2 linked regions of the Saccharomyces cerevisiae S288C genome follow. Changing the gene in region 1 together with any one later gene gives a genetic interaction. Each region holds a gene or a part of one and is shown in the gene's direction. Other genes may lie near its edges.

What was found.
Region 2: mutations in URA2 (region 1) and CEM1 together harm fitness more than expected from each alone (negative genetic interaction), as found in Saccharomyces cerevisiae (3 studies listed by BioGRID).

What each region holds. Positions count from the first base shown.
Region 1 is NC_001142.9:166,368-174,069, reverse strand, and holds the start of URA2 (bifunctional carbamoylphosphate synthetase/aspartate transcarbamylase), read left to right. Parts: upstream 1-1,702; coding exon 1,703-7,702. Other genes in the region: TRK1 (Trk1p), read left to right, coding at 1-471. UniProt on the Saccharomyces cerevisiae protein: Multifunctional protein that encodes the first 2 enzymatic activities of the de novo pyrimidine pathway: carbamoylphosphate synthetase (CPSase; EC 6.3.5.5) and aspartate transcarbamylase (ATCase; EC 2.1.3.2).
Region 2 is NC_001137.3:277,798-281,523, reverse strand, and holds CEM1 (fatty acid synthase CEM1), read left to right. Parts: upstream 1-1,897; coding exon 1,898-3,226; downstream 3,227-3,726. Other genes in the region: glycerol-1-phosphatase GPP2, read left to right, coding at 842-1,594; FCY22 (purine-cytosine permease), read right to left, coding at 3,360-3,726. UniProt on the Saccharomyces cerevisiae protein: Possibly involved in the synthesis of a specialized molecule, probably related to a fatty acid, which is essential for mitochondrial respiration. Is essential for oxygen uptake and the presence of cytochromes A and B.

The sequences.
Region 1 (7,702 bases):
TCATTTGACTTGTGGTTTCTATTTTTAGGGTTATTTATCATTTGCATTTGTGAAGGGGACAAGATAAAGGACGTACAAGAACCAAACTTTAATATATTTGCAATTCTTTTTGAAATTGTTAGCGCTTACGGTACAGTTGGGCTATCGCTAGGTTATCCGGACACCAACCAATCGTTTTCAAGACAGTTTACTACATTATCTAAGTTGGTGATCATAGCTATGCTGATCAGAGGCAAGAATAGAGGTCTACCATACTCACTGGATCGTGCAATTATCTTGCCTAGTGATAGACTTGAACATATTGACCACCTTGAGGGCATGAAATTGAAGAGACAGGCTAGAACCAATACAGAAGACCCAATGACGGAACATTTCAAGAGAAGTTTCACTGATGTGAAACATCGTTGGGGAGCTCTTAAGCGTAAGACCACACATTCCCGAAATCCTAAAAGGAGCAGCACAACGCTCTAACATATATACTCATTCTTTAGAAATAGGTTTTCGTACTCAATATTTAAGAAGGTAATTAAGCATTAAAAGGATTTTTTTTTTTTAACCTTGATTAGTAACATTGTGATATACATTTGCCTACGTACATTTCTGATGTCCTAAGATTTCTTTCTTTTTTTCGGTCCCTTAAAGACAACCGAATCTCTCTACGATAATGTACGACATACAATGTCCAAAATGGTGCTTTCGTCATCGTCAACGCCATTAGTACATTGTCCCTCTTTTCGTGAAAAATGAAAAATCTTGGTTATTTGCAGTGTACATGGAATATGGACTTTTTTTTTTTCTCTGTGGCCCGCCGGTGTTCTCCGATGAATATTAAAAGAAATGTCACACAAACGCAATGACTCTTTTTTCCCTGGCCTTGAAAAAAAAAAAAACGGTAAAAAAGTAGGACAAATGGTATGGACAAAAAGTATAAATACTTTGACAAAATCCCCACTCATCGATTTTACTCAGAGAGAGAATCCTCTCTTTCCTTCTCTATTTTGCTCAATTAGTATAATATCATATCTAGTATGTTTTAACTACACCAATTTTCTTTCAAATTATCGTCTTTCCTAATGGTCTTGTATTTTTATCTTATTCTTGATTGTAGAAAATAAAAAACCTGTCGACAACAACCACAAACAAAAGGTTTCCTGAACATTTTCTCTACGGAAGCACTTGAGAAAGAATTGAGGAATACCGCTATATCTAGCCAAAAAAACTTATAAATACTTCTACTCTTTTGTTAAAGACTCACCACGTTCAACTTTGAATTGAAAGAAAAAGGAAACATTATAATCCGTTAGCATTCAAATTTGAGTATGTTTTTTATGATTACTTTTGAGAAGCCTTAATGTTGCCATCTATTCAGACCATGCGATGCCAGTCGCAATATCAGTGGGCGCGTATTTTAGTATCTGGGCGTGGAAAATAGAAGCCGTTTGACTCTGCGATGATGTCGTTTTTCATTACCTGGAATAGGAAAGAAAAAAAAGAAAGAAAAAAAAAAGAAAAGAATCGCAATTGATAGAGATCTTCATGGCACGAAAGCAAATCAATCTCTTCAATTAGTTCTGATTTTATATCGGCATCTGGCTTGAACGATCAACAATTACTAACATTAATATTAACGACGATAGAAATCCATAACTAATTGCAGCATACAACACATAAACCTTACCTAATAGAATATAACAATCATAATATGGCCACTATTGCTCCCACTGCTCCAATCACCCCTCCAATGGAATCTACGGGTGACCGTCTGGTTACGTTGGAACTTAAGGACGGCACGGTCTTACAAGGTTATTCATTTGGTGCTGAGAAATCCGTCGCTGGTGAATTAGTTTTCCAAACTGGTATGGTTGGTTATCCTGAATCTGTGACCGATCCATCTTATGAAGGCCAGATCTTAGTCATCACTTACCCATTGGTAGGCAATTATGGTGTCCCAGATATGCACTTGAGAGATGAATTGGTCGAAGAATTGCCAAGATATTTTGAAAGTAATAGAATCCATATTGCCGGTTTAGTTATTTCTCACTATACCGACGAGTACTCTCATTATCTTGCTAAATCTTCCTTAGGTAAATGGTTACAAAATGAAGGGATCCCAGCTGTTTATGGTGTTGATACAAGATCATTGACCAAGCATTTGAGAGATGCAGGTTCAATGTTGGGTAGGTTGTCTTTGGAAAAAAGCGGCTCTGACAGAACCATCTCCAGATCTTCCTCTTGGAGAAGTGCGTTTGATGTTCCTGAATGGGTGGATCCAAATGTTCAAAACCTAGTTTCTAAGGTCTCCATCAATGAACCTAAATTGTACGTTCCTCCAGCAGACAATAAGCACATCGAATTGCAAACCGGACCCGATGGTAAAGTTTTAAGGATTCTAGCCATTGACGTGGGTATGAAATACAATCAAATTCGTTGTTTTATCAAAAGGGGTGTAGAATTGAAAGTTGTTCCATGGAACTACGATTTCACTAAAGAAGATTATGATGGTCTGTTTATTTCAAATGGTCCAGGTGATCCATCTGTTCTAGATGATCTATCTCAAAGATTGTCAAATGTCCTGGAGGCTAAAAAGACGCCAGTATTCGGTATTTGTCTCGGTCATCAATTGATAGCAAGAGCTGCCGGTGCATCCACCCTAAAACTAAAATTTGGTAACCGTGGTCATAACATACCTTGTACATCAACTATAAGTGGTCGTTGTTACATAACATCTCAAAACCATGGGTTCGCTGTGGATGTTGACACTCTAACTTCCGGATGGAAGCCATTGTTTGTTAACGCGAATGATGACTCTAACGAAGGTATCTATCATTCTGAATTACCTTATTTTTCCGTCCAATTCCATCCAGAATCCACACCTGGCCCAAGAGATACAGAATTCTTGTTTGACGTTTTTATCCAAGCAGTTAAAGAATTCAAGTATACACAAGTGTTGAAACCAATCGCTTTCCCAGGTGGCCTATTAGAGGATAACGTTAAGGCACACCCTAGAATCGAAGCGAAGAAGGTTCTAGTTCTCGGTTCTGGTGGTTTGTCCATCGGTCAAGCTGGTGAATTTGACTACTCTGGTTCTCAAGCCATCAAAGCTTTGAAAGAAGAAGGTATCTATACAATTTTAATTAATCCAAACATTGCTACCATCCAAACTTCGAAAGGGTTGGCTGATAAGGTTTATTTTGTTCCTGTTACTGCAGAGTTCGTGAGAAAAGTTATTTTACATGAAAGGCCGGACGCCATTTATGTGACATTTGGTGGACAAACTGCTTTATCTGTTGGTATAGCCATGAAAGATGAATTTGAGGCGTTAGGAGTTAAAGTATTGGGTACTCCAATCGATACTATTATTACCACGGAAGACCGTGAACTCTTCAGTAATGCCATTGACGAAATTAATGAAAAATGTGCGAAATCTCAAGCTGCTAATTCAGTGGACGAGGCATTGGCCGCTGTCAAGGAGATCGGTTTCCCAGTTATTGTACGTGCTGCATATGCATTGGGAGGTTTAGGTTCCGGTTTCGCTAATAATGAAAAAGAATTGGTTGATCTATGTAATGTTGCATTTTCATCCTCACCTCAAGTTTTAGTCGAGAAATCTATGAAAGGTTGGAAAGAAGTCGAATATGAAGTTGTTCGTGATGCTTTTGACAACTGTATTACTGTTTGTAATATGGAAAATTTTGATCCACTAGGTATTCACACCGGTGATTCCATCGTTGTAGCCCCATCTCAAACTTTATCTGATGAAGATTACAATATGTTAAGAACTACTGCTGTTAATGTTATTAGACACTTAGGTGTTGTTGGTGAATGTAATATCCAATATGCTTTAAATCCCGTTTCTAAGGATTATTGCATCATTGAAGTTAATGCGCGTTTGTCACGTTCCTCTGCTTTAGCTTCTAAGGCTACTGGTTACCCATTGGCCTACACTGCGGCTAAGTTAGGTTTGAATATCCCATTAAATGAAGTTAAGAATTCCGTCACAAAATCCACATGTGCTTGTTTTGAACCTTCTCTAGACTACTGTGTTGTCAAAATGCCAAGATGGGATTTGAAGAAGTTCACCAGAGTTTCTACCGAATTATCTTCATCAATGAAATCTGTTGGTGAAGTTATGAGCATCGGTAGAACCTTCGAAGAAGCTATTCAAAAAGCTATCAGATCCACAGAATATGCTAACCTCGGATTCAATGAGACAGATCTAGATATCGACATTGATTACGAGTTGAACAACCCTACGGATATGCGTGTCTTCGCCATTGCAAATGCTTTTGCTAAGAAGGGATATTCTGTTGATAAAGTCTGGGAAATGACTAGAATTGATAAGTGGTTTTTAAACAAACTGCACGATTTGGTCCAATTTGCTGAGAAAATTAGTTCATTTGGTACTAAAGAGGAATTACCTTCCTTAGTTTTAAGACAGGCTAAGCAGTTAGGTTTTGATGACAGACAGATTGCAAGATTTTTGGATTCCAACGAAGTTGCCATCCGTAGATTAAGAAAAGAATATGGAATTACACCATTTGTCAAACAAATTGATACAGTTGCCGCTGAATTCCCCGCTTACACGAACTATTTATACATGACATACAATGCTGACTCACACGATTTATCCTTTGATGACCACGGTGTTATGGTCTTGGGTTCTGGTGTTTACCGTATCGGTTCTTCTGTCGAATTTGATTGGTGTGCTGTTACTGCAGTTAGAACATTACGTGCCAACAATATCAAAACTATCATGGTCAACTATAATCCAGAAACTGTTTCCACAGATTATGATGAGGCTGATAGACTATACTTTGAAACCATCAACCTTGAAAGAGTTTTGGATATTTACGAGATTGAAAACTCAAGCGGTGTTGTCGTATCAATGGGTGGTCAAACTTCCAACAACATCGCCATGACTTTACATCGTGAAAATGTAAAGATTCTTGGTACATCCCCTGACATGATTGATTCTGCTGAAAACCGTTACAAGTTCTCTCGTATGTTGGATCAAATTGGTGTTGACCAACCAGCTTGGAAAGAATTGACATCCATGGACGAAGCTGAATCTTTTGCCGAAAAGGTGGGTTATCCAGTTTTGGTACGTCCATCTTATGTGTTATCCGGTGCCGCCATGAATACTGTTTATTCTAAAAACGATTTGGAATCCTACTTAAACCAAGCCGTCGAAGTTTCACGTGATTATCCTGTTGTTATCACTAAATATATTGAAAACGCAAAGGAGATTGAAATGGATGCAGTTGCAAGAAATGGTGAATTGGTTATGCATGTTGTCTCTGAGCATGTTGAAAATGCAGGTGTCCACTCGGGTGATGCAACATTAATCGTTCCACCTCAAGATTTGGCTCCTGAAACTGTGGATAGAATTGTTGTCGCCACTGCTAAAATTGGTAAGGCTTTGAAAATTACAGGTCCATACAACATCCAATTCATTGCAAAGGACAATGAAATCAAGGTCATAGAATGTAATGTTCGTGCTTCGAGATCTTTCCCATTCATTTCAAAGGTTGTTGGCGTCAATCTGATTGAATTGGCAACAAAGGCCATAATGGGTTTGCCTTTGACGCCTTATCCTGTTGAAAAATTACCAGATGATTATGTCGCCGTTAAAGTACCACAATTCTCTTTCCCACGTTTAGCAGGAGCTGATCCAGTCTTAGGTGTTGAAATGGCCTCTACTGGTGAAGTCGCTACTTTTGGCCACTCGAAGTATGAAGCATACTTAAAGTCTTTGTTGGCAACCGGCTTCAAACTTCCAAAGAAGAATATTTTATTGTCTATTGGTTCTTACAAGGAAAAACAAGAATTGCTTTCTTCCGTACAAAAACTATACAACATGGGATATAAATTATTTGCAACATCAGGTACTGCTGACTTTTTATCTGAACATGGTATTGCCGTCCAATATCTGGAGGTTTTAAACAAGGATGATGATGATCAAAAATCAGAATACTCACTTACTCAACATTTGGCTAATAATGAAATTGACCTTTACATCAACTTGCCTTCTGCCAACAGGTTCCGTCGTCCTGCATCCTATGTTTCAAAGGGGTATAAAACACGTCGTTTGGCTGTCGATTATTCGGTTCCGTTGGTTACTAACGTTAAATGTGCAAAATTGTTGATTGAAGCCATTTCAAGAAATATCACTTTAGATGTTTCTGAACGTGATGCACAAACTTCCCACAGAACTATTACCTTACCTGGTTTAATCAATATCGCAACTTATGTTCCGAATGCATCCCATGTTATCAAAGGCCCAGCTGAACTGAAGGAGACCACACGTCTATTTTTGGAATCCGGTTTTACATACTGTCAATTGATGCCCAGATCCATCAGCGGACCTGTTATTACTGACGTTGCATCCTTGAAGGCCGCAAACTCTGTTTCCCAAGATTCATCTTACACTGACTTTTCTTTCACTATTGCTGGTACAGCACACAATGCTCATAGTGTTACGCAATCTGCTAGCAAAGTGACAGCATTGTTTTTGCCCCTACGTGAATTAAAGAACAAGATCACAGCAGTAGCTGAACTTCTGAATCAGTGGCCAACTGAAAAGCAAGTGATTGCAGAAGCTAAAACTGCAGATTTGGCATCGGTTTTATTGTTAACCTCCCTTCAAAACAGATCTATTCACATTACTGGTGTTTCGAATAAGGAAGATTTAGCTTTGATCATGACGGTCAAGGCAAAAGACCCTAGAGTGACTTGTGATGTCAATATTTATTCTTTGTTTATTGCCCAAGATGACTATCCGGAGGCAGTTTTCTTGCCTACTAAGGAAGATCAAGAGTTTTTCTGGAACAACCTTGATAGTATCGATGCTTTCTCTGTCGGTGCTCTTCCTGTCGCCTTGGCAAATGTCACAGGTAACAAGGTTGATGTTGGTATGGGTATCAAAGATTCATTACCACTATTGTTGGCTGCTGTTGAAGAAGGTAAATTAACCATTGATGATATCGTCCTTCGTCTGCATGACAATCCCGCTAAAATTTTCAACATCCCTACTCAGGACTCAGTTGTCGAAATTGATTTGGATTATTCTTTCAGACGTAATAAGAGATGGTCACCATTCAACAAAGATATGAACGGTGGTATTGAGCGTGTTGTCTATAATGGCGAAACATTAGTTTTGAGCGGTGAATTAGTTTCACCAGGCGCCAAAGGAAAATGCATTGTTAATCCAAGTCCAGCTTCCATAACTGCTTCCGCAGAGCTCCAATCTACTAGTGCTAAAAGAAGGTTCTCGATCACGGAAGAAGCAATCGCTGATAATTTAGATGCCGCGGAGGATGCAATTCCAGAACAGCCTTTGGAACAAAAATTGATGTCTTCAAGGCCACCAAGAGAACTTGTTGCTCCAGGCGCCATCCAGAATTTGATCCGTAGTAACAATCCATTCCGCGGAAGACATATATTGTCTATCAAACAATTCAAACGTTCTGATTTCCATGTGTTGTTTGCTGTTGCACAAGAACTAAGGGCAGCTGTCGCAAGAGAAGGTGTCTTAGATTTAATGAAAGGCCACGTTATTACTACAATTTTCTTTGAACCATCTACTCGTACTTGTTCTTCATTCATTGCTGCTATGGAACGTTTGGGTGGTAGAATTGTAAATGTTAATCCATTGGTGTCTTCTGTCAAGAAAGGTGAAACCCTTCAAGATACTATCAGAACT
Region 2 (3,726 bases), on another chromosome or scaffold:
TTTCTTACTTCGGCTAGAGACGCCGGGTAATAAAATATATATCCTCGAATGAACCGCTGGCCTCGGCCATTTTCATATGACTTCATATCATTAATATGGCCGTAGGTTAAGCAATGCTACGTGAAAGATACCAATTCCAATCGTCTGCTTTCTCTCAAGAGGAGACTTTGCGTTCTTTAAAGGAGCAGAGAAAGAGGGAAACGGTGAAAAACTTCAATATTGATAACATCCATCAGCGTCTAAATTCCTATGCCTCCTTCGAAAATGGTCAATGTTATACCCTCTCCCATTAGATATTACCGTAGCGTACGTATTTGGCCCTGTCCTTTGGGGTTTGGCCTTCTCAAGTATTTTGGCACCTCGCCCTGAACGAAAAGCTGGCACTTTGTCCCCAGCCAAACTCTTCTCTCTAATATCGTCTTTAACGACAAGGTAAAAAGATTTCTGCAGTGTTCCGTCTGCGTCATCATCTGTGCCCCACAATCCGCGGCGTTTCCGTGTAAGCCGTCAAGTGAGGACTTTTCGGATGCTGAAAGAAAGTACGCTCGGAAAAACTACATAGCTGCCCCCCTAAACGGGCCTCCCACGTGACGTAAAGTAGGAATAATAAGAAGCCAAGTCGTTTCTTTTTATTCTAAATAAGTTCGTTTCTTTTGATGTTGTCATTTTCAGAAATATATATATATGCGCTTAAATACACAAGCTAAAACAACATAGTTAGGATTGCCAAAGGTTTCTTTTCTACTCAATTTGGTCTAACTCTTTTCATATTAATAGCGCCAACCAGCTAGTGTTTACCAGATCAGTGGAAAAACATAAAACAATAAAAACAATATTCGGAATGGGATTGACTACTAAACCTCTATCTTTGAAAGTTAACGCCGCTTTGTTCGACGTCGACGGTACCATTATCATCTCTCAACCAGCCATTGCTGCATTCTGGAGGGATTTCGGTAAGGACAAACCTTATTTCGATGCTGAACACGTTATCCAAGTCTCGCATGGTTGGAGAACGTTTGATGCCATTGCTAAGTTCGCTCCAGACTTTGCCAATGAAGAGTATGTTAACAAATTAGAAGCTGAAATTCCGGTCAAGTACGGTGAAAAATCCATTGAAGTCCCAGGTGCAGTTAAGCTGTGCAACGCTTTGAACGCTCTACCAAAAGAGAAATGGGCTGTGGCAACTTCCGGTACCCGTGATATGGCACAAAAATGGTTCGAGCATCTGGGAATCAGGAGACCAAAGTACTTCATTACCGCTAATGATGTCAAACAGGGTAAGCCTCATCCAGAACCATATCTGAAGGGCAGGAATGGCTTAGGATATCCGATCAATGAGCAAGACCCTTCCAAATCTAAGGTAGTAGTATTTGAAGACGCTCCAGCAGGTATTGCCGCCGGAAAAGCCGCCGGTTGTAAGATCATTGGTATTGCCACTACTTTCGACTTGGACTTCCTAAAGGAAAAAGGCTGTGACATCATTGTCAAAAACCACGAATCCATCAGAGTTGGCGGCTACAATGCCGAAACAGACGAAGTTGAATTCATTTTTGACGACTACTTATATGCTAAGGACGATCTGTTGAAATGGTAATCCTCTAAAATCGAACATATTTGAGTAATAATTCTCAGATACAGTCCTATTCTATATTCGCCACAAAACAAGTAATGATGCTAAAAAACGACACATTTATAAAATCACATCTTATTGATTAAATAAATACGTAGATAGATTTTTTTTTTTAAAACATATAGTGTGCTATTATTTCTGACTCTGTCTCATCTCAGAAAAATAAATGATAAAAAAGGAAGTAAAATCCTTAAACGTTATCAGGTTATTAGCAACTTGAAAGTGACAGGAGCCACAACGGATTAAAATTTAATTTCTAGTAAAGAAATGTCAAGAAGAGTGGTTATCACAGGATTGGGCTGTGTAACGCCGTTGGGAAGATCATTAAGTGAGTCATGGGGGAATCTGCTCTCTTCCAAAAATGGACTCACACCAATCACATCTTTGCCCAACTATAATGAGGACTACAAACTCAGAGAAAAAAGTATCCCATCAACGATAACAGTGGGGAAGATTCCAGAGAATTTTCAAAACGAAAATTCAGCCATCAATAAACTGCTGTTCACTAGCCAGGATGAGAGAAGAACCTCAAGCTTTATCAAGCTAGCACTACGTACAACTTATGAAGCGCTTCACAATGCTGGTCTCTTGAACCCAAATGATATAACCATCAATACATCTCTGTGCAATCTGGATCACTTTGGTTGCCTGATAGGTTCTGGTATAGGATCCATTCAAGACATATACCAAACTTCTCTACAATTCCATAACGACAATAAAAGAATAAATCCATATTTCGTCCCTAAAATCCTTACAAATATGGCAGCTGGTAATGTTTCCATCAAGTTTAACCTTAGAGGATTATCCCATAGTGTTTCCACAGCATGCGCAACAGGTAATAACTCCATTGGCGATGCATTCAATTTTATTCGGTTAGGCATGCAAGACATCTGTGTCGCCGGTGCAAGTGAAACGAGTTTGCATCCGTTAAGTTTAGCAGGTTTCATCAGAGCAAAGTCGATTACTACAAACGGGATCTCTAGACCCTTTGATACACAACGTTCTGGATTCGTACTTGGTGAAGGATGCGGAATGATTGTCATGGAATCGCTAGAACATGCTCAAAAGAGAAATGCAAACATAATTTCTGAGCTCGTGGGCTATGGTTTAAGCAGTGATGCCTGCCATATTACCTCCCCTCCTGCTGATGGAAATGGTGCCAAAAGAGCAATAGAGATGGCTCTAAAAATGGCTAGATTAGAACCAACTGATGTTGACTACGTCAATGCACATGCTACATCAACTTTACTAGGCGATAAAGCAGAGTGTCTGGCAGTAGCCTCAGCACTCTTACCAGGAAGATCCAAAAGCAAGCCACTGTACATATCCAGTAACAAAGGTGCAATTGGCCATCTTTTAGGTGCAGCTGGCGCCGTAGAAAGTATATTTACAATTTGTTCCTTGAAGGATGATAAGATGCCGCATACCTTAAACCTGGACAATGTTCTGACTCTAGAAAATAACGAGGCCGATAAGCTACATTTCATAAGAGACAAACCTATTGTGGGAGCTAATCCGAAGTACGCATTATGCAACAGCTTCGGATTTGGAGGAGTTAACACATCTCTTCTCTTCAAGAAATGGGAAGGGAGTTAATATTATTAAACTTATATATATATCCCATTATAATCGTTTTTGAATTATATGCTATCTATTCGAATGTCGAGATTTATCCATTAAAACCAATCATTTCAATGATTAGCAAAAATATTAATCAATTAACATTTAGTCATCGACCGAAATATTTGAGTTCTAAAGGTCTTACAATGTTATAGATGATGAACGCCCAACTTCCGCCTAACTCGAACCCAATGTCACCGCCGTACTCTCCGATCAAACGACTGATCTCACCAACCCAATAAGTTTGGCACATACCCAACGCTACTCCAAAGGCACCAGCAATTAAGGCAGCAGTACCTGCGATACCGATAGGTAGATGCTCCCAATTATCCCAATCATCAATATTGTAAGCACTGAAGGAACGCCTATAAATAAAATGCTCTGAACATGCAATGGCAATATAAATAGCCAAATAATAACCAATGGAATCCATAAAATTCTCCATAAAGCCGTCAAAGTAATAGGTAGCAGGGATG